Notamacropus eugenii: one gene and its partners. The protein of the gene in region 1 purifies or fractionates together with the protein of each later gene. This does not show direct contact. Links are inferred from orthologs where the notes say so. Each region holds a gene or a part of one and is shown in the gene's direction. Other genes may lie near its edges.

Region 1 (7,870 bases):
TTAAAATTAATTAATTAACTGATTAAATTTAAATTTACTCTCTAAATGCTTGATTTAATTAAATTTAACGTAAAGATATTTAATTGGGTTAGAAGGGAATATGAGTACCAAAACATCTAAAAGATTGCAACTATCCCTAAATAATCTTGCTAGAAAAGGAAACTAAAACAACGCCTGATTAAACACAAAATTCTGTGGATTACCAGGAGCATGGATGTTGGTTCCTTAATGGCAAGAGAGAAATCAGAATCTTGAGAGAAGTTAGGCAGGAACAAATGGCAAAATGTATGGCTTACACAGCAGAAATAATTAGCAGAAGAGAAAAACTTGAGTTCATGGGAGTGAGTCTGTCCAAAGAAGTGAAAAAGACAATAGATTAGGAATATAAATATATTGAAGTGAAGGATTATCTGGAAGAAGAAAAAAGCAAAAATGTTAAAATAATGCAAGCTATCTATATGAGCAAAACATATTATTCTCAAAGACAGGATCCAGAGACAACGTAAGGATCATAAGCCAACAAATAACATGACAAATCAAAAAGCCTGAACACCATAATGCTAAGAATAATATAAGAAAATTTCCTAGAACTTTTGAATATGAATAACAAAGAGCTAATTGAAAGAATTCATAGATGAACTCCATGAAAACAAAATAACTTATGTTTCACACTCCAAAACACACAGTGGTTAAATTTAGCAATTTTGGTGACAAAGAAGTAATCAGAATAAAAACCTTAAGATGTAAAGGAAAGGAGATTAGAATAACATAAGAATATTTTCACCCACCAAAAATCATAGAAGAGAATGGAAGAAAAGGCAAAGGAGCTCAATATGCAACCCAAAAGGATGTACCCTAAAAATCTAAGCCTAATATCAATGAAAAAACATAGATATTCAATAAAAGAAGCATTTGAAATATTTCTGCAAAGAAAAAACCACACATGTATAACAGACAGGGACTGTCTTTTGCCCCTTCTTAGATTCCCCAGGCACTTAATAAAGTAGGCACTTAATAAATACTGATTGATTGACATGAGATCTGAATAAGGGTCTTTCAAATATGATAGAATCATCCGACCTGTCTCAATGGGCAGGTAGGTGGTTTAGTGGATTGAGAGATGGGCCTGGATTCAGGAAGACTCATCTTCCTGAGTTCAAATCAGTGCTTAGACACTAGTTCTGTGACCCTGCCACACAGGGAAGTCATTTAACCCTGTTTATCTCAGTTTCTTCATCTGTAAAATGAGCTGGAGAAGGAAATCTTTGCCAAGAAAACCCCAAACGGGGTCACAAAGAGTCTCATACAACTGAAAATGTGTCTTAAAGGCCTTTGAACTTCTCCTTTGTATATGAAAAAGTTAGGAAGCATCTGAACAACCAGCAAACAAAATGAACTTGCTGCCAGGGCAGAAATTATCTAACTCAGTACCTTTTCCTCAGCCATTCATTCCAAGGACTAATAGGAGGAAACTAGAGATAAAAACAAAATAAAACAACCCCCCCCCCAAACTGGGACACCCCAAACCTCAGACCTTTTGGTGATTATTTGCTACGTGGTTATAGGCTGATAATGACCTAACCTGCAGAAATGGAATTTTGGGAAAAATACTAGTTGGCCAGGGTAGTTGAGTGGTGAAGTGGATGGAGTGCTGGATGTGGAGATAGGAAGACTCATCTTTCTAAGTTCAAATGTGACCTCACACACTTACTAGTTATGTGGTTCTAGGCAAGTCGCTTAACCCTATTTGCTTCAGTTCCTCATCTGTAAAATGGGGACATACCAGAGAAGGAAATGAAAAACCACTCCAGTATCTTTGCTAAGGAATTTCTGTGGACATGGGGTCATGCAGAGTCAAACATGATTGAACAAACAACTGATTGGTCACTGTAAATTAGGATGAGGTCCCTCAGTGAAAGATCCCAGCCCTGAACTGGGAAAAGTGGCTAAAAGGAAAAGCTATACCCAGCATTGTACTGGTAAAAATGTTTAACAACTAGCTCTTGGCAAGGGGCGTGGGGTGGGTGAGGGTGGATGCTCCATACATAAGTTTAATCTCCATTAATAATGGTTTTATTCCTATCACTTTCTCAAGTTTAGATAATCAAAAAATCATGTGCTGATTTTTGAGGTATAAATGCTCCTATTGAAAATGTGATAATCAGCTTAGTATGAGCTGGCTATCACTTACCGCTGGCCATAACTCTTCTACCTTCTGCCTGAGAGGTGAAAACCTCAGAGCCAATGTCCTGAAGGAACAGAATTGGAGTTTCTGCTAATCTAAGGGTAAAGGCCTCTGTCTTTTCTGAAAGAGTATAGTGTACATTCCAGACAAGTATAAGGCTGGACATGGTGAAGACACAGCTGCCTATCAAGGAGTGATATCAGGGACTGGTGAGAAGCTCATAATCTGGATTTGGGGGAGTTACAGGTCCATTCAGATTTTTAACCAAACAATTTTTCCACATACTCATTAGCAGCTACAGGAGGGGTTAGTTTACTCTTCAAAACCCATAGACTTTCATTTTTAGTTTTTTAGACAATTTTCTCTGTGACAAGCAAGACCAAATCAGTCACTCATCCATCAGAGATGATACGCTCTGAGGGAAGCCAGTTTATACTAGCATCAGAGAATCCCAGCCTTCATGAATATCTCACCCACAATGAGCTTTGTGAGGACTTGATAGAGAAATGACATTAAGTCCCTGCAGTTCCACAGTTATAAGTTGCCTTAGCTGTGAGAATTCCCTATTTGAATACCTCATTAGTATTCTTTAAATATGTGCCTATCACTTGAGACTGTGTATTTGTTGGAGAAAGTGTTCCAGGTTTTTTTTCTGAAAGAATATTTTGTATCAACTGTTTTTGCTGCGGCTGATAAGAGAAAACACACTGGTCAGGCTTCATGAGCAACAATAGTAGGAGTAGCCACTCGTTGGGTTATACAAATAAAAAACCCCAAAAGCCAGAGGTAACAGTCACCACTTTGGTGATCCCAGCCGCAGACTTGAGGGCCCAGAGGAGGTATAACATATACGATCTCCTCCATTAATATACAAGCTCCTTGAAAGTAGGGATTATTTCCATTTTTGAAACAATCCCCAGCACCTAGCACAGTGACAGCAACATGGCAAGTGTGAGTCAGTTGATTTATTATCAGTAGTAATGATGGTGGTTCCAGCATGTCGAAGGTGACATGCAGGTAAGTTTTGAGTGGCATGATCAGGGCCTTAAGGGTTAAACAACATTAATTGTGAAAGCGGTAAAGTTTGAGCTTTAAAAATCAGCGCCTTTTTGCTTCTGTGTACCTTTCCTGTATCCCATTGTTGCTTCCTCAGCTGAATGTTAGCTAATCCTTAGCAGATAATTCAGATGTTAGCTTAGAAAATTGAACATCGGAATGCCACCAGGGGCACTTGCAATTTAAAAGGTAGTCAGAAGTGTACGGAGGCCAGGACTCTGGGAGAAACCTATAGGGAAGTTCGATCTTTTCCCTCCTCCCAATCATCCTTTGCTCTACTGTTCATAGAGGTTAGGGTGTTTCCTCAGTATCGTTCACTGGCCCAACTCACAGAATAGTGTAGGTATGTGTATGTGGGTAGCTTGCATATCCTTGCCACAGATCCACGAGGGTGCGAGGTGTACATAGAGGAAGATTTGTCCCACTACTTTAGAAAGGGTCCAGTCCTCCTTATGAACCTCAGCGGCCTACCAATGACTTGTAGTGGCATAGAACACCATTGTATTGTAATTAAGATACAATGCTACATTAAATCCTAAATATACCCAATTAAAAATGAAATTAACAGGTGGTCGTCTTTAAAAATGAAAGCCTCAAACGTTGGGAGTAAACAGCCGGGCAAGGGTGGCACTGGGAAGTTTGTCTGAAGTTTAGGAGCACTTCACTTCTGCGTGTCTAGGTGCATGGGGAAGTGGAAGAGGATCAATGCGGGTTATTGCCACCGCGCGTGCCGGCTGCGTGGGGAGGCACTTTCGGACCGAAGCTGTCAAACCCCAGAGCCGGGGCGGCGGGGCTGGTGCCTCTCCAGTACAGTCCTCACTTCTGGAGTCGCCTTTAATGCTACTCTGGAAGAGCAGGGGCGGGGTTCCTGAACCCTCAGAGGTGTCGTGGTTAGGGTTCGGAGGCAGGATTTTCCAGGACCCAGCGCTCCCCGAGTGCTCGCGAGTCCTCTCTGCCGCCCGCAGGCACTCCCTCCCAGGGTCTCTGTCTCTGGTGCTGCCCAGTGCCCGGCCTCAGTGTCTCGCTCCGGCTGAAATGCTTGCTCCTCCCCCCCTTCCTACTTCCTCCCCCGGTCCCCATGCAGCACTGCTCAGCATCGCGCCTGCAAATCTAGTTTGGCTCCAGTTTTGTTGGGAGGGGTCTCTCCACCACTTTAATTTGGGGGTTTTCCCTTTTCTCGGGTTTTTCAGCTACTGGGGGGGGGGGAGGAATGGGTGGAGAGGTAAGGACTGTAATAGTCCCGATAGTCTCTCCCTGGCTGGGTCTTCGTCACCAAGAGGGGTAGGGCTCATTTAAAATACCTAGTTCACCCCTCGCCGCCCCCCGTTCCGGTCCTTCAGGGCCCCCAGCGCCCCGGGCCCCAAGCTTCCCGGGCTCCCCCCTCTGCGCGCCCCCGCCAGCTGGCCGGGCCGGGCTGCAGGCTCCCGCGCTCCCCCTAGAGGAGGCTGCGTTGCGTCGGCCTCGGCCTCGTCGGCGGGGGCGTTCACGTGACCGCGCTCCAGGCCTGCTGCCGCTGTCGGTTCCCCCAGTCACCGAGCGAGAGGGAAGAAACAAGATGGCGGCTGGAGGCGATCGGGAGCGGGGCGCCGGCAATTCGGATTGAGCCTTCTCCCTCCACCCGCTTCCGCCGGCCGGGCCCCCCCCGCCCCGACCCCGCGGGGCTCCCCACCCCGCCCCCAGCGGCTCCCCACCGCCGCCTCTCGGCCGGTCCCCCTCCCCCCCTCGGCTTTCCCTTCTCCCTCCCTCCCTCCTCGGCTCCGACATGAGGGGCAGGCGGGGCAGGCCGCCCAAGCAGCCCGCGGCAGGCGCTGCGGAGCGCGGCGCCCCGGCTCCCCCGCCGCCGCCGCCGCCGCCGCCGCCGCCACCGCCGCCTCCGGCCGGGCCCATCGGGGGGCTCCGCTCCCGGCACCGAGGCAGCAGCCGGGGCAGGTGGGCCGCCGCCCAGGCAGAGGTGGCGCCCAAGGCGCGGCTGAGCTCCCCCAGGGGGGGCGGCGGTAGCCGGAGGAAGCCTCCGCCACCGCCGCCGCCGCCGCCGCCGCCGCCGCCGGCCGCCCCCCCCAGCAGCAGCCCCAGCGCCGGCGCCCCGGGCCGGGGGGGGAGAGGAGGCGGGGGAGGCAGAGCTGGAGGCGGGGGCGGCGGCGGCGGCGGCGGCGGCGGCAGCGGAGGCCACCTGGCCCGGGCCACCCCGTCCAGGAGGAGCATCAGCAAAGTGGTGTACGATGACCACGAGAGCGAGGAGGAGGACGAGGACGAGGACATGGTCTCCGAGGAAGAGGAGGAGGAGGAGGGGGACCCCGAGGAGACGCAGGACTCCGAGGAGGACGAGGAGGAGGAAGATATTATGGAGGAGGACGACGACGACGACGACTCCGATTATCCCGAGGAAATGGAAGACGACGACGATGCCAGCTATTGCACCGAGAGCAGCTTCAGGAGCCACAGCACCTACAGCAGCACCCCAGGTACCCACCCAGCCCGGCCGCCTCGGGGCTAGCCTTCCACCCTCCACCTTCTCCCCCTGCTCCATCCACCCCTCACCCCTCCACCCCGAAGACACACACACACACACACACTCACCGTGTCCGTCCTGCACGGTGCATCCTGCTGTAGCGGCACCCCCCATCTCACCCCCAAAGAGAGGGGAAATGCAATCGCACATCAAGTGGCAAAAAACTAGATTTACCAGAGGAAAGAGGTGCATTGTTCAAAATGGAGATTGCATTGTTGCAGTTGGCAGGCCACACTCTCTCTCTCCCTCTCCCCCACTTTCCCCCCACCCCCAAAACTGGAGCTAGTGCAGCCTTTCCTCCAGGCAGGATTGAGACGGCCATGCACGTAGCCATCGCCTTCCTTTTTTTTTTTTAAGGTGAAGAATCCTCTTGTGTAGCGAGCCACTTTGCATGGCTTAATGTGAATTCTCTTTAGTGGCTGAGTCTCCTCTCTTAGCAGGGATCCTACGGAGGGAGTTGTTTAGGGTGTAAACATGTACATAATGTTGCTTCTACTCGTGCTTCTTTTCTTTTCACATTTCTTGCTTTGTGTGGTTTTGCAATTGTCTCAAGGAATTAGCTCCACCACTTGTGTTGTTGGGGGAAACCTTAATTAGCCATACGTGTGTTTGTTTTCATTCTTTGTGTGTTCACGGGCACATGCAACAGTTGCCCTTAGGTGGCTGCTTTAAAAAAAAATCCGACTAAAAGAGTACATTTGGTTAAAATTCAGTTTTGTAAAATCCCAGATGACAATATTTGTCTCCCTCAGTCTCATGTAAGCAGTTTCCTTCTTAGAAGCACCCCCATGTTCCTTGGGGAGTAGAGTTTCATGTCACCTGTTGCAGAAGATGGAGTTGATCGTTGAAAGTAAATTTTGAAGATCAACTTTTGGATCAATTTCAAAAAAGAACTGGAGGATTTATTACAGTGTAGATTTTTTTCACCTTAGATGATTGAGTTTGAAAGTTCAGCCTTGGTGGGTAAGAGGCTCCTCCATGGTAACTCATACTCTCCTGTTTTCTCAAGGAAGTTTCTTCAGACCGGTACTGAAATGCATTTGGTTAAAAATCACGATTGAAGCTTTGTGCTAAACAAGATAGATGCAGTTTACTCAGTTGTGGAAAAATGTATTTAAGGCTTTTAATGGCAGCCTGTCCTGTTTTTCTTCAGTAATTTTGGCGATTGGGATCAATTAGCATCTTTTTTAAAGACTCCTTTCCACCCCCCAAGTGAATTTTCATAAGAACATATTTCTAATTTACAAGAATATGATGCCTTTTATTTTTTATCAGTATTTATAGATAAAATGTTCAAGTAGTATGAAATACTTAAATTTTTATTTTTCAACTTGTATTGAATTCATCTAACTAATCCATTTCTATTCTTTTGCCTCTAAAGAAACTCATTGATTGGGTTAAAGATGCCATTTCGTGTCTGAAAGCAAGAAAATGTTCATTTTTTTCTTTTTGTTCTTTTACTGAAATGAAAAAGTAACATTAAGCATTTATCTCTTGAAGATATTAGTGATGTGTGCAAATTTCAATTTTGTCAGTTGGTATGCCACTAAGAGCATTCACCTTAAGAAATCACAGCTCTTGTACTTTCTCTCCTTCTCCCCCCTTTCTCCCCTTTCTCTCTCTCTTTCTCCTTTCCCCCCCTCTCCCCCTTCTCCCTCTCCCTCTTCTTCCTTCCCCCCTCTTTTTCTCTCTCCTCCCCCCCCTTCCCTCTCCCTTCTTCTCTTCCTCTTCTCTCTTGAGTCTTTTTCTGTTAAGGATCACACAACTGAATGAGCCAGACTGAAAGGTTCCAGTCCTCCTTGCAGACTGAATAACACTCCTTTGGAGAAAGTTTTTTAAAGTTAGAGTTGAGACATTTTGGCAAGGCAGTTTTAGCTTGCTTGAACTCCTGTTTTTGAAGGCTAAGTAAAGAGGAGTTATATCTACTCCCTTTAATTAATTTAAAATGTCATCATCCACTTTAACTTTGTCTTAAACTGGTGGGTTTATTATGTGCCTTTTCATATGGTAGTAGTTAAAAAGTCTGTACTTGGTACAGACTGGTAGTTCAGTCTGTTTAATAGAAAAGTTTTTATCATTTTACAGTGGGTACCATAACTCTGTAAGGTATATGTTTTGAA
Region 2 (7,042 bases), on another chromosome or scaffold:
CATTTTGCTCTCATGGGGAGCTGGAGAAGCTCTATCCCCCCAGAGATTGGAGTCTTTGGTTTGAGATCAGCCTTGACATGCTGCAGGGTTTTTGACCCTGTCCTGAGAAAGGCAGAATGACAAGTACTTAGGATAAAGAACTAAGGATCAGGGAGATCAGCTTAGTGGCAAGCTAAGCTAAGATGACACTTTATGATGGATCAAAAGGGGGAAAATCTAGGGAGATGAATGTAGATTAACATTAGAAAGGTTATCAAATGCTATTAAAGGTCAAAGAGAACTCCTAAATAAACATATTTGTGTGCATGTATGTGTGGCTATATCCATACATATGTATATATGCATATATAGATATAAATAGATAATAGATAAATATATATATCTATCTTTATATATGCATAAAGAGAGAAGTGAGCTTACTGTATTATACACCATCTTTACAAGGCTGTTTTTAAAGCACAGCAGTGCCAGTCCCAGCCCGGGCACCCCCTTATATACTGTCTGGGGTACTGACCTCACAAGAGCCTGATGAGGTAAGCAGGCCTTTATGATGTGAATTTTCCAAATTAGGTAATTGGGCCTCACCAAGATAAGTGATTTGAGGGACTGACAGTTGTAATTCAGCAGAGTTGGGAACTGGAAACTTCTGATTCCAAATCTAAACCTTCTTTTCCATCACCACAATGGCTCCCAACCTCAATGGGTCTGTGGGACACAAGAAATCCTGATTCAAAGCAATCTGCATTGTTATTTTTTTTAATAGCAACTTTATTGAGGCCTTTTATCTTCATAACACAATCTTTCTTTCTCCATTCTTGGATGCCTTGTTTTGGTTTTGCTTCCCCCCCCCCCCCTTAGGGTTCAATTTCTTTTTTTTAGCGATCTTTTCATTTCCATCAGCATAGAAATTGTGCTCCTACATTCCCTCTTTCCCACTAGGGAGCCCCTCCAACTTCTAGTGGTCCCAACTCCTCTGTGAAGATTTTACTTTTTTTCTGTAATCTAATTATGTGTGTATATTGTCTTGCCTAATAGAATATAAATTCCTTGAGTTCAGGGGTGATTTTCTTGCTTTGTAATTATATCCCCAGGACCTCCTGGTGCCTATCAATAGATCTTGTCTATTCTCTGAATTTCTCCTATTTGTCATTTCTCCCTGCATGCAATATCCCATCCCATTCATCTGGCACTATTTGTTCAACCACTTCTAAACTGCATTAACTTTTCCTCATTATATACAAAGTTCTGGGGCAATTCCTCAGGATTTTGAGGAAGCTCCTTGTAGTAATCTCTCTTCAGAAGACAAACTTTCTTTTGATTAAGATTTAGAGCCAGAGTCCTTTGGGCCTAACTATGGAACTCTGTCAGTGGAATCACAGTGTGGTTTGGTGTATCTGTCAAGATGCCAGATCTGAGAAAAACATCGGGACAATATTGAAACTGTTATACCCGTGGTGATCCCTGTCTTAGGAGAGTATTAGACAGTAGCAGTAACTCTTTAAAGATCTTTTGTCAGCTTGTAAACAAGATTGGATACCCTGAAATAAGTCAGAGAATCCTGGAATGTCAGAACTGGAAGAGACATCACCTATTTAATTCAACACTCAGACCTGACTAAGAATTCCCCTCTATGGTATCCCTGGTAAGTAATCTTCCTATCCACTTTGCCAGCTAGCTGCCCCAAGAAGTTATGTCTTGTCTATACAGTCAGTATATGTTACAGATGGGACTTGAATCCAGATCTTCTTGACTCCAAGGCCAGGCCTCTACCTAATATGCTGTGATGTCTGGTCCAAAGGGAAGTATGACCAAGTGGGTGTTCAGGTCCTACTTCTGATACTACCTGTGTGATCTTGTCATTTATTCTCCCCAAGCCTTAGTTTCCTCATCTGTAAAATAAAGGGATCAAACTAGGTCTCTGACTTTATGATAATATACATATATAGGAAGTTTTCAGAATATACACTTTTAAACAGTGTGGTTTTAAAATCAAATTGTTTATTTTCCTGGGAAAATGTAATCCTGTTTCCAAGGGCTCAAAAGTAGGCAATTGATCAATGAAGGCCTCCTTTAGTGGGCACCTTTCTCCTGCCTTTGTAAGGAAATGAATTGCAGAGAAAAGAAAAAGGAGTGTATTTGTGTGATCAAAGAACTGAGAGCTGGAAGGGGCTCTTCATTTTCCAGATGAGGAACTGAGGCCCCAAGAAGGGGGGGAAGGAACTTGCCCTAAGGTCATACAGTGAATGCAGAGCCTGGAGCGAAACTCTTGTCTTCTGATTTTCCAGCCAAAGCCCTCGATTCTCAGCACTCTGCAAAGTCGGAGTTGTTCCCACTTGAGGGACTGACAATCTGGTGAGTTTCCAAAGTGAGCAGGAAGAATTTTGGAGAGAGAATTAAGGATATGAAAGAATTGAAGCTGGTATCTCTGAGAGTCTCCCCTTTCTGTGCGCATTATTGGTGGATATCTCTCCTAGCCACCCAGATCTTTCAAGCCCCCTTTCCCACAATCAAAACTTGCCCAAGGAAATGGGAATCTTTCTCATAAATTGCAATAATTAAAAACTTCTCTCTTCCTTGGCTAGTTATGTTTTCTGATGTGCTTTATATAATCTTTAGTGAAAGCAATGAAGCTCTCTCTGATCTTGTAATTTTAGACATTTGCTAGGTTGTGGAGGTATTTTTGTAGGGAAAGGAGGGAGAAAGGTGTTTTTCTCCTCTCCCTGCCTCCATCCCAAAGTGCCTGACACATAGAATCATAGCTGTGGAGCTGGAAGGGATCTCAGAAGCTCCCTGGTCCAGCCCTGTTATTGGACAGAGGAGGAAACTGAGGCCAGAGAGGTGAAGGGACTTGCTCGAAATTACAGGTGTAGACATTTCAATCCAAATTCTCTTATTCATTCCAGAGCTAGGTTTTGGTCCACAGTGACAGGTTACCTTCTCCACATTAGGGATTTAAAGAAATGGTTGATAGACTGGATTAGAAAGCAGACTGGCAAGGTCCCCAGGGTGGAACTAATTAATTCTCAATTTTTCAATCTGTAGCTTTTTGGAGGGGGGGGGGGGTACACTGCTTTCTTTTAAACCTTTTTTAATGACGGATAATTTAAACTCTGCAGGTTGGAAAGAAAATAGAGGGAAAAAAACACAGGAGTTCAAGTCAAATCAAGAAGCCTTTATTAAGCACCTACTATGTGCCAGGTACTATGTGAAACTTTGGGTTAGCATTGACAAGTGAAGGCCTTTGGGAGGACTGCTCATCCCACTGTGTCAGTCTCAGTGGGGGGCCTGGAGAATGCAAATTGCCCAGCTTCCCGTTTGGGACTGTAGACATAAATTGTTTTTAGATGCACCCAATATCTGAGTGCCCAGTCTGCTCCAGGAGCCGAATGCCGGCTGTTAAGTCAGAAAACCGCTTGCTGTGTGACTATGGATGCCTCTTCCTTTGCTTCTGCGTGCTGGGTTTTCCCACCTGTAAATGGAGGAGATGGGACTAGAAGGTGGTAATCCCGCAGCCCCTTCCAACAAAGGAAGGGCCAGCGAGTTTCTGGGTTTTGGGGGTGGCCAGAGAGTCCATCACTGGTCTGGGCCTAAAGGCCTGGGTGGAGCTTTGCTCAGGGAATTTTATAAGCAGGGAACCAAGAGCCCTTGGAGGTTACAAAACAACCAAAAAAAAAAAAAAGAAGCTGGACCTCAGTTTGGTTCCCCCTCCCCCTTCCCTCTCTCCTCTCCTTTTTCCCCCTCCCTTTTCTCCCCATCTACGGGTGGTCTATTGGGTGCGCTAGGGGTCGAGGTCGGGGGGGGTGTCGGGGAGAGCGCGTTTGAACGAACGCTCCGGCGCGGGTTGGGAGGGGGGAGTCTCGCGATTGTTGTGGGGGGCGCCGGGAGGGGGGCCACGGGGGGCGGGGAGGGGAGGGGGGAGGCCGTGACGTAGGAGGGCTGAGAAGGAGAAGGGGGCGGCGGCTCTGTGCTCTTGGCTCCCTTCTCCCCTGCTCAGCCGAGGGGGCTCGCAGCTGGCCGCTTCTCCTGCCCAGCTTCCCGAGATCGGCCTGAACCCCGAGTCCCGAGCTCCGAACTCCGAGCCCGCGGCCTCCCCGCCGCAGCCGCCGAGCTCATGGAGCTGCAGCAGTCTGGCCCTGGGGCCAGAGCGGAGGAGGAGCCGGGACCGTCCACAGTTCGGGAGGCGGGAGCGGCCCCCGGGGACCGGGGGGAAGAGGAGGAAGAGGAGGTAGGCTAAGCCTGCCGTGGGGCGGGGGGTGGGGTGGGTGGGGGGCGGCGGGGAGCCTCGCGCTGCCTCACTTCTCCAGCCTCGGCGCCCTTGCCTGCAGGGGTGACCCCCTCCGCGCCCACCGTCGGAGCCGGCGGCATGGGCCTGAGGGAGGAGGCGGGGAGGGGGGGAGGAGCAAGGAGAGGTAGAGAAAAGGGGGGCCGATTGGGCTGGGGCGCGGGGGCCGAGCCCTTGAGGGGCCCTACACTTCCCGAGGGGCTGGGAAAAGAAGCTAATTTGGATCTCTCTTGCTGGGATGGGGAAAGCTCGAGCGAGTCGTTTTCATTGGCTAGCCGGGCCTCGGGGATTGGGGGGTGGAAAAGAAATCGTCTCTGGCCCTGGCAATCCCCACCCCCATCGTCCTAGCCAGGCCACCCTGGACAGCAGCCCCTGAATTTTCCCTTCCCCCTCGCTTGTAGTCCCTCCCAGGAGCAGGGCCTTCTCTGCTGCTGTCTGTCTCCTGTTTCCCGTTCTTTCCTTCAGCCTCAGCCGGTCCCCCGACATACACGCAGTTGAATTTTTTCTTTAAACCGGCATCTTTGGGGATGAGCCACCCTCCGCTTCCCGGATGGGCTTGGGTCTGCTCTGATGGTTGCCCTATAGAATTGATGCTTTGCTGCTCCCCATCTTCGGGCACAGAACCGCGGAGGCATGATGAAGAACCAGAGCTCGAAGTTTTCCCCATTAGAGATAGTATAGGGACAGCTGGGCTGTTGTTGTTCAAAATTGCTTTTGTGATAGCATCTCCATATATTGAGATTTTACCTTTTAAGGCGTGCCAGGCTTGCATTTTTACTATGTAAGGTAATTAACGTGATGCTGCCCGGCCGTCAAGTGACCTGGCTTGGATTATGACGTGATGGTGATGTCAGAGGACCAAATGTCAACCTTTCCAGGGCAATTAATAACTTCTCTCTTGCCTTACCACGTCACAAAATCACTTACTACTCATCCTTATGAGTGATTTAAAAGTCAGCAGATTTTTTTCCTCCCAAAGAACCTGTGGCAGATTTTACTGTTAGAAGCTGGAAGAGGAACACAGCCTAAAAGGAGCCTGTTTAGTGAAATTCTGAGTTCCTTTGCCACTTGACCCTTGAAAATGTTCAAACCTCCCTCTAATAAATTCAACCAGACTTTGCCACAAACAACAGTAGGGAGCAAATCTTAACCAGTTTTTAAATAAAGACTCGAAAGAGCATGTATGTCTTATTCCCTGAGAATGACACTGTACTTTCAAGTGTCCAATAACACTTTAAATCTCCCAAACTGTGAAATAGGATGGTACTTCATCATTAAGGCCAGTGCTGTGCCCTGGCATTTACTTTCCTCTTTATAAAAAGCACAATAGAATTTGTGAACACTGAATGCCTTAACCCTCCCATTCCTGTTAGGCAGGGTGTCCCAAAAGTCTTAGTGCACTTTTCAACCATTACAAACAAACTTTAAACTGCGATTAGACTTTGGGGACACACTGTATATATTGTATGTAGTCACAGAAAATTGTATACTGGGTGTAAGTAGGTTGCAGCATATTAATAATGATGACTTATGAGCAAGAAAAGTAAAAGATACTGAAGACATAGATGAATGATGGGAAAAGGAGGTGGGACATTTTAGCTTCCCTCATGGCCGCCCAGCTGAAGACTCATAAGAGGGCCTCCAGTGGAGGATTTATGGAGGACAAGGACAAGGACGCTGGAAAAACAGTTGTACATCCTGGGCTGGGCCTTCCCAAGCTTTGAGTCAGAGCCTGTATATCAGTTGTGCGTCTGTTGTCTAAGGAACAGAATAGCTGTCAAGAAAGGATCAATGAATGAACAAGGTTGACCTCAGGGTGGGGAATTTTTGAGGTGCAATAATTTCTGAAGACTTGTCTTTACTAAGTTATGTATGGGTTGTGACTTGCATTGGTAGAGGGACTAGCCACACTAATGAAATAACAGAAAATAAAATTTAAAAAATAGGTAGTGTTTTTACATAGCGCTTTAAAGTTTGCAAAGCACTTTACAATCTATTAACTCGTTTGATCTGCACAACTACCCTGCGAGGTAGGTGCTATTATAACACCCATTTTACAGATGAAGAAACTAAGGCATTGAGCTTAAGAGATTGCCCAGGGGCTGAGACAGGATTCAGACTCGGGTCTTGCTCATTCTAACCAGTTGTAGCTCCCTGAATAAAAAGAAAAGAAAAGAATAATCTTTATTATTATTGATAATGATGATAGTATTTATGTGGGGTGTTCCAAATGACTTAGTTCTCGGTTTAAATGACTTAAAACTTCACTAAGACTTTTGGAACCTCCCCCCCACCCCTGCCCCGCCCTCTCCCTCCATAACTTTCTCTAAGGTTGGCCAATGACTTTCCCCTTATATCGCCTCACTTGATCCTCACTTTTCAACCTAGTAAAAGAGATGATATTATTAGCCTCATTCTACTGAAGGAGAAAATTTAATGACCCATTTACCCTCTGCCCTTGGGGACTTTCTTTGTAGATCTATTTGAATAACAATAATAATACCTAGCTAGCATTTAAATAACACTTTAAGGTTTTCAACTCACTTTTCTATCTCATTTGATCTTCACCACTGTTGGGAGAGGTAAGTGCTTTTATTATCCTCATTTTATAAGCAAACTGAGGCTGAGTAAGGTTAGGTTAATATGTTATATTTTAAGTGATTACAAGCTGTTGTGCTTTTTGTTTTTCTCTGTCCACTTTTTCTGGTTCTCTTGTTTTCTCTCTTCCCCCCTCTTATTTGTTACTTCTAACCTGTTGTG
Region 3 (7,350 bases), on another chromosome or scaffold:
TGGTGATTCAAAGGATGGTGGGTTCTTGATAGCAGTGGGGATAGTTTAAGAGGAAGGGTAGAGGTAGGGGGAAGGATAACAAATTTCATTCTGGATATCTGGCACTGGGGAAAATTCTCTTATCTCAATACAAAGGGATCCCCAGTATTATTACCAAGGCTCCAGGTCAGAGGGAGCAGTACCCTCATTACGATCTCTCACGATCCAAGGGAAGGACAATGGAATAGAGACAAGAGACTGGGATTCTAGTCCTGGCTCCAGCACATAACTAAGTGACCTTGGGCAGGTCCCTTTACCATTCTGAGCCTCAGTTTAATCATCTGTAGAATTCACCCAACATTAACCATGCACTTACTATGTGCCAGGCCCTATGCTGGTCACTGCGAGACACACAAAGTTTAGATAATTCAGGCTTCTTGCCCTCACAGAACTCCTAGTCTGGTAGGGGAATAAGACCCCAAAACAAATAAAGATAATATTCCAAATTGCGGGACAATTGCATTGACAGGTTTCAGAACCAAGTGCTCTGGGAGATCAGAAGGGAGGCATTTCTAATCAGGGAAGATTCACTGGGTGAGGTGGAAGCCAAAGGGAGAGACAATCCAACCCCAGGTCGGAGGGGGGGAGAGGGGGGATTGTCAAAGGCTACAGACAACTCAGGGAAGGTGAAGACCTAGTGTAGTGTACTGTTGGGGGGAGGGAGGAATGGTGAGAGGGAGAACCAGTGCAATGGGTGATTCAAAGGGCAGTTGGCGACCTTTAAGGCTTTGAGTAGAGCAGTTACAGCAAAAACTAGACTGCAAGGGGCTGATGAAGGACAAAATGAGTCCCAAAGAAGGAGAAACATTAGGGGTAGGTGACGTTTTTCCCAGCCCTTAATCTTAGTGTCTTTCCTCTCAAATTATTCCCAATTCACCAGAGAGAGACAGAGACAGAGAGACAGACAGAGACAGAGAGACAGAGATAGAGAGACACAGAGAGACACAGAGACAGAAACAGAGAGACACAGAGACATAGAGAGAGACAGAGACAGAGAGACAGAGAGATCCTGTTTAAACATAGTTGCTTTCATGTTGTCTTATTAGGTTGTGAGTTCTTTGAAAGCAAAGAACTTTGTTTTTGTTTTTCCCTTCTTTAGATCCCTGCCTCCTAGCACACTGCCTGGCACATAGTTGGTACCTAATAAAGGCTTACTGACTTGTCAGCTTTTCCAGAACTTTAGCTCCAAAGAAGGAGAGAGAGGTAGGAAGGCATGATAGCTTGATGATCAAGGGTCAAGGAAAGACTTTTGAAGGGTTGGGGAAACCTGATTGTGTTTGAAGGCAGCTGGAAAAACTCTGGTGGCCAAGCAAGCTCTCTAAGGAAATGGAGGAGCTGGTGGGGGGGAAGGGTTCAGTCCAAGGGAGGAATGGGGACCCCCTTTGCATTGAGCAGAGAGAAGAAGAGAAGAGTACGTGATGATGGAACAAGCAGAGGGAGCTCCTGTCAGACATCCTCAATCATTTCTGAAGCAGGAGGCTGTCTGCTTTCATTGAGAGGGTTGGCAATGGAACAGAAGCCAAAACAGGAGAAAGATTTGGAACCATCCTTGTAGGGACATGTAACTCCCACGAGGTGGCGATAAGGAGCAGAAGTGACACTTGCTGGGAAAGCCCTTTGTCATCTGGAGAATCTAGTTGGAAATGTGGGGAATGATAACGATGGAACCCAGAGCATTCTTGCTTCTCCCCTGCCCTCCAGAGCCACCTGGATCAATGTCTCTTCTCTTTGATTCATAATAGCTCTTCAGCAGTCTGAAGGCACTTCCTGGTTCTAAAAATGCAAATAACTTTTGCAATATGTCAGGGGATGATTCAACATGAAAATGATTTCACAATGCGCTCTTACAAAGACAACCCCCATACATTCCCAGCCCTCACTGTGACCCTCTGGAAACTTCCACATAACCATCGACAGCTCCCATTTTCACAGGGTCTTATAGTTAAAAATAAAAAAAAAAACTTTATCCCAACCACCTTTTAAGGTAGATAAAGGATCATTTGTTTTTAGTTTGTTTTTTTCAGTTGCTACTGACTCTTTGTGACCCTATTTGGGGTTTTCTTGACAAAGATACTGGAATGTTGTGTCATTTCCTTCTCCAGCTCACTTTACAGATGAAGAAACTGAGGCAAACAGGGTGAAATGACTTGTTTAGTTGCATCTGACTCTTTGTGACCCCATTTGGGGTTTTCTTGGCAAAGACACTGAGTGATTTACCATTTCCTTCTCTAGCTCCTTCTGCAGATGAGGAAACAGGTAAATAGGGTGAAGTGACTTGCCCAGGGTTACATAGCTAGTTAGTCTGAGGCTGAATTCAAACTAAGGAGATGAGGCTTCCTGACTCCAGGTCCAGCACTCTATCCACTATGGCACCACCTGGCTGTCGTATCTCCATTTTACAGGTATGAAAATTGATGTTCAGAGAAAGGGAGTGACTTACTACAGCCACACAGCCTGTAAGCATCAAAGACTGGATTCCAGTACCAAATCAAGGTATCATTCTACTACACCTCTTTCTCCTACTGAAAGGACTATTTATCCAAAGGAAAATGGACTCAGACTTTGGGGAGAGGGGTGATATTTTATTTTTCAAAATTAAATAGTCAAGAGTATTATCTGCCTTAGATTGGTAAATTTGGAGTCAGAGGACCCAAGTTTGAATCCTTTCACTTACAGTATCTGCCTGTCAAAGTTCCTAGTCCTCAGTTTCTTCCTCTGTGAAATGAGGGTCTTACTTAGACTAGCTGATCTCTGAGGTTCACCAGGGTCAGTGGGTGGAAGATGTAAGAAAGTAGACTTCCTAACAGGAAAGGAAAACCTTCCTAACAATTAGAACAGTGCTAATGTAAAATGGGTGACTTAATAGTCGGTCAATTAGCATCTATTAGGCGCTTTACTGTGCACTAAGCACTGGGACTCCAGAGAAAGGTAAAAGACAATCCAAAATACTTCCAAGGAACTCACCATCTAAAGTGAGGAAGTGAGCTCCCCATCACCAGGGATATTCAAATTGAGGCTAAAGGATGACAGAGGTTGAAGAGGGAAGGAGGGTTGGACTAAGTGGCCTCTGAGGGCCCTCTCATCTCTAAGATTCAATAAAGTCTTGATTCTGTCAACCTAACAAGCATTTAGTAAGGGTCCACTGTATGCAAGGGAGGCACAATGGATAGACCCTGTCACACACTGGCTCAAATATGTACTTAAACCCTCGAGTAGAAATTGCAAGTGATGGATTGGCTGAGAGTTGCCTAAAATAATGAAAAAATAGATTCCTACCTTTAAAAAAAAAACCAGGAATGGAGGTTTTATTTTTAGTTCTGGTCCTATACTTTTATTGGCATAGCGAACTTCTAGGCAGGAAACTCCCTCTACCAATACACACATCAGCTATTTGTGGTTTGTAACCAAAGAGAACAGAAGGGGCAGCACAGAGAAGCAGGCTGGGAGTCAGGAGGCCCTGGGCTCACATCCAACGTGACCCTGAGCAAGTCATGTCACCCTGTTTGCCTCAGTTTCCTCATCTGTCACTGCTCTCTACCCACTTCACTGCCTCTCAGAACTAAAAGACTTTGGGAGAGGGGGCACTAGCCCCTAGGGATGGAGGAAATCCCATCGGTTACAGCTTCCAGGGAGGCAGGCAGCAGGGCGTGGTGGGACTTTGTCCGAAGATCTGGGTTTGAACTGGAACGTTAGAGGAAGTAACAGGATGACTCTGGGCAAGTTTAAATAAAACATCTGTAAAAGGAGGAAGGTTGGTCAAGGTCTCTTCCAGCTCCATGATCCTACAATCAGGTGATGGCACTCTCATGACCTGGGTTCCAATCCTGCCTCTGCCGCTTACCAGTTGGGCAACTCTGGAAGGAAGGAGATAATAAGCACGTATTAAGCTCCTATTACGTGCCAGCCACTGTGTTCAGAGTTCTGTAACTATTGCCTCTTTGGGGCAAGTGCTCTGTGCCTCAGATTCCTCATCTGTAAAATGGGGGTGGTGCTAGCTCCCTCCCAAGGTTGCTAAAGGGACAAATAGAGAAAATGCCTGTCACATGCACAGCAGACCTTAACGCGCCCTGTGGACGCTACCAGCTGTTTTTATCGTTACTCCTCATTGCAACGACCCCGGAGGCCAGGCGCGCAAGTAGCGCAGAGAGCGGGCAGCGCGCGCCGGGGCTGCTGCGGCTGGCGCTGGGGCTGGAGCAAGAGCGCTCCAACAGGTATTCGATGCGCTCGGCGCTCCTCCCCTCTCTCTTCTCCCTCCTCCGCTCCCTCCCCGCCCCTCGGGCTGGCCGCCTGCCGCGGTGGAGGCGCTCTGCGCTCGGCTGCGGAGGCCTAGCGGCTCTCCCCTGTCCTCTCCCTCTCAAGATGGCGGCTGTCGGCGGCGCTGAGGCGGGAGCCGGGCCCGCGGAGTGAAGGTAGCGGCGAGCAGCGACCCCGCCCGTCCCGGCCAGCCGGGGCCCCCTGGCGCCCGCCCCTCCCAACCCGCGCCCAGCCGCCGCCCCAGGCCCGCGCTGGCAGCCCCAGGCCGCCTCCCCGCGCCGCGCGGCCTAGGCCCCGGGCCCGAGCCGGGGGCTGGAGTGGCAGCCACGGCCCGGCGTGAGGCGGCGGCCCGGGGCGGCCGGAGTGGGGCCGACGGGGGCGGGACGCGTTCAAACAGAGAAGGCGGGAAAGTGGCGGCGGGGGCCGGGGGCGGGAGCGCGCGCGCGGGGACGCGCGAGGCCGAGGCAGCCCCGCCCCCCGCGCCTGCCCAGTGCCCGCCCCCGCCGCGGGGGGCGCCCTGGAGGCCGCGGGTTCCGGAGCGAGGCTGGAGCTGGGAGTCGGCAGGCGGGCGCGGGGCTGGTGGGTAGGGGGAGCGCGGATGCAGTGAGCCAGGAGGGTCCAGCCCTGCCCCTTCCACCCTACAGGCGGGGAAACTGAGGCACGGGGCAGGGAAGGAGGGTAGAATGCCCATGTGATCCCGGGGAGGCCGAACCCCCAATCTGGAGCACCCGAGGACGCCAGATTTGGAGCTGGGAGGGATCTTGGAGGTCCAGTTCAACTGCCCTCGGTTTTACAGATGGGGAAACTGAGGCACGGGGCAGGGAAGGAGGATAAACTGCACCTTTGAGCCTGGGGAGTCTGATTCCGCAGCCTGGATCATCCGAGGACGCCAGACTTGGAGGCCAAAGGCACCTCCGGAGCTATCCAACCCAACCTCTTCACCCCCATTTTTTGCAGATGGGGAAACTGAGCAAGAGCAGGGACTTTAGAGGTCAAGTTCAACTGCCCTTGTTTTTACAGATGGGGAAACTGAGGCACGGAGCAGGGAAGGAGGGTAGAATGCCCCTGTGAGCCCAGAGGGGCCGATTCCCCAGTCTGGAGCACCTGAGGACACCAAACTTGGAGCTGAAAGGGACCGTATAGGTCAAGTTCAACTCCCCTCATTTTTTACAGATTGGGAAACTGAGTCAGCACAAAAGCAAGAGAATAGAATGTATCCATGGGTCCAGGTCTTCTGACCCCTAGTGTAAAGAATCCAACGACCCTCACCTTAAAACTGGAAAAGACTTTCGAGGGCATCCAGTCCAATTCCTTCATTTTATTGAGAAGGAAACTGAGTCACAGAAAGGGCTATAGATCCATAGACTTTGAGCTAGAAGGGATCTGAGAGGTCTTCAAGTCTCACCTTCCTGTTTAATGTTAGGGAAACTGAGGCCCAGAAGGGTCATGAGATCGTAGATTTAAATCTAGAAGCATCTCAGTGGTTATCTAGGCTGCCCTCCTCATTTCACAGACCAGGAAATTGAGGCATAGAAAAGGGAAAGAGTATAGAATAGATCAGTGAGTTCAAGTCTTCTGGTCCCATAGAACCATTGACTCAGAACAAGGAAACTTGAGACCCTAAAGGCCTTCTTGGTGCACCCTCCCATTTAGCAGGTGGGGAAACTGAGACTGAGATGTGTGTTAGATTTAGAACCCTAAGTACTTCCTCCAGGCCTTCGTGGTATAGGTGTGAAAACTGAGACCTCGAAAAGGCAAGCAGTTTGCCTAAGAAAGGTAGAAGGTGGTGACAGTTATTCGAACCCTTGACTTCTTCCATTAACCCACAGGAGGGACCAGAACTCATCTATCCTAATTCCCAGTCCCAACTGGAAGAGAATTTGAGGATAATCTAGCCCAGACCCATTTGTAGGTAGGCACTGAACGGAAAGGCAGATATCTGCTCCCCAGGCTGGCAGATCGTGGCTCTAGGAGGGACTTTTAAAAGTGAACTGGTGCAAGCCTGTCATGTTGTCTGTGGTCTCTCTCAAATGCCCATTGAATCCTAAGTACCGGAGATCCAAAGACAAAGCCTAAGCCCCAGAGAATGGACCAGAACTAAGGGCGGCTCCCTGGGCCAGGCTGTCAGAGTATCCTGCCTGGATTTAGAGCTGGCAGGCACGAGAGTTCGTCCCAGGACGCCCTCTCATCTCACAAGTGAGGCCCGGAGAGCGGATTCTGCTCCCCAGTTTAGGGGGTCACCCTCTAGAGCCAGAAGGGGCCTGAGAGGCTCTCTAAGTTAACCCCCTTTTACAGCTAGCAATCTAATCCTACAAGCATTTATTGTAAACACCAGGGCTGTGTTCTAGGTACTAGGGAGAAACAGACCAACAGAGGGGGAGAAACTAGAATCTAGATGTTTCCATTCCCAGCCTACCAGCTCACAAAGAGCACAGATTTTGAGCTGGAAAGGACCTAATAGAGATACCCTGGTCCTAGCCTGCAGTTTTACAAATGAGGAACCAAACTCAGAGGGGGAAAGGGGCTTGTCCTATATTTTAGCTGCATAACTTCTCCACCCAGAGCCTTGCTCCAGTGCCTAATGGGTCCATGAAGGCAGCCTGGGTTCTAGGGAGCCACCTCAGGGGAATCTAAGGGCTGGCAAGGCTTCCGAGGTGACTGTGGCCAGGCTGCAACAAGCCTAGAAGCACTTTCTGCTGAGCCACCAGGAAAAGAGTCATGCTCCCATCGGTGTAGCTGCCATGTGAAGTGGAGACTTCAATAATCTGCACAGTGAATACAACAGTAACTAGTCAGAGGGACCCAAGGGAACAGGTGCAGTCCCCTCCAGATCTCTTCTGGGATTATTCTTCACTAATGTGCTCTGTGTGTGTTAGCCTTGTCTCCAGAGCTGGATCCTAGGATTTCTCCCTGGGAGAGAGCTGAGAGGTCATGATCTCCTTTCCTGGCGGTTCGACTGGGAAAGTGTGCCCCCAGGATGAGACAGTCTTGGTGTCTCTGGGGCTTAACACGGCTCCTGGCACACAGTAGGCACTTAATAAAGGATTCTCGGATTGA

The links.
Region 2: the proteins of BPTF (region 1) and SMARCA1 purify together in Homo sapiens (affinity purification with mass spectrometry; 4 studies listed by BioGRID and IntAct, with this or other methods). This does not show direct contact. The link is inferred for Notamacropus eugenii from reciprocal best matches to the Homo sapiens genes BPTF and SMARCA1.
Region 3: the proteins of BPTF (region 1) and HMGXB4 fractionate together in Homo sapiens (co-fractionation; 3 studies listed by BioGRID, with this or other methods). This does not show direct contact. The link is inferred for Notamacropus eugenii from reciprocal best matches to the Homo sapiens genes BPTF and HMGXB4.

What each region holds. Positions count from the first base shown.
Region 1 is NC_092873.1:328,044,244-328,052,113, reverse strand, and holds the start of BPTF (nucleosome-remodeling factor subunit BPTF), read left to right. Parts: upstream 1-4,863; 5' UTR 4,864-5,003; coding exon 5,004-5,703; intron 5,704-5,818; exon of another isoform or gene 5,819-6,085; intron 6,086-7,870. UniProt on the Homo sapiens protein: Regulatory subunit of the ATP-dependent NURF-1 and NURF-5 ISWI chromatin remodeling complexes, which form ordered nucleosome arrays on chromatin and facilitate access to DNA during DNA-templated processes such as DNA replication, transcription, and repair.
Region 2 is NC_092879.1:51,279,867-51,286,908, reverse strand, and holds the start of SMARCA1 (probable global transcription activator SNF2L1), read left to right. Parts: upstream 1-3,922; 5' UTR 3,923-4,111; coding exon 4,112-4,225; intron 4,226-4,770; exon of another isoform or gene 4,771-4,986; intron 4,987-7,042.
Region 3 is NC_092874.1:292,389,316-292,396,665, forward strand, and holds the start of HMGXB4 (HMG domain-containing protein 4), read left to right. Parts: upstream 1-4,328; 5' UTR 4,329-4,448; intron 4,449-7,350. UniProt on the Homo sapiens protein: Negatively regulates Wnt/beta-catenin signaling during development.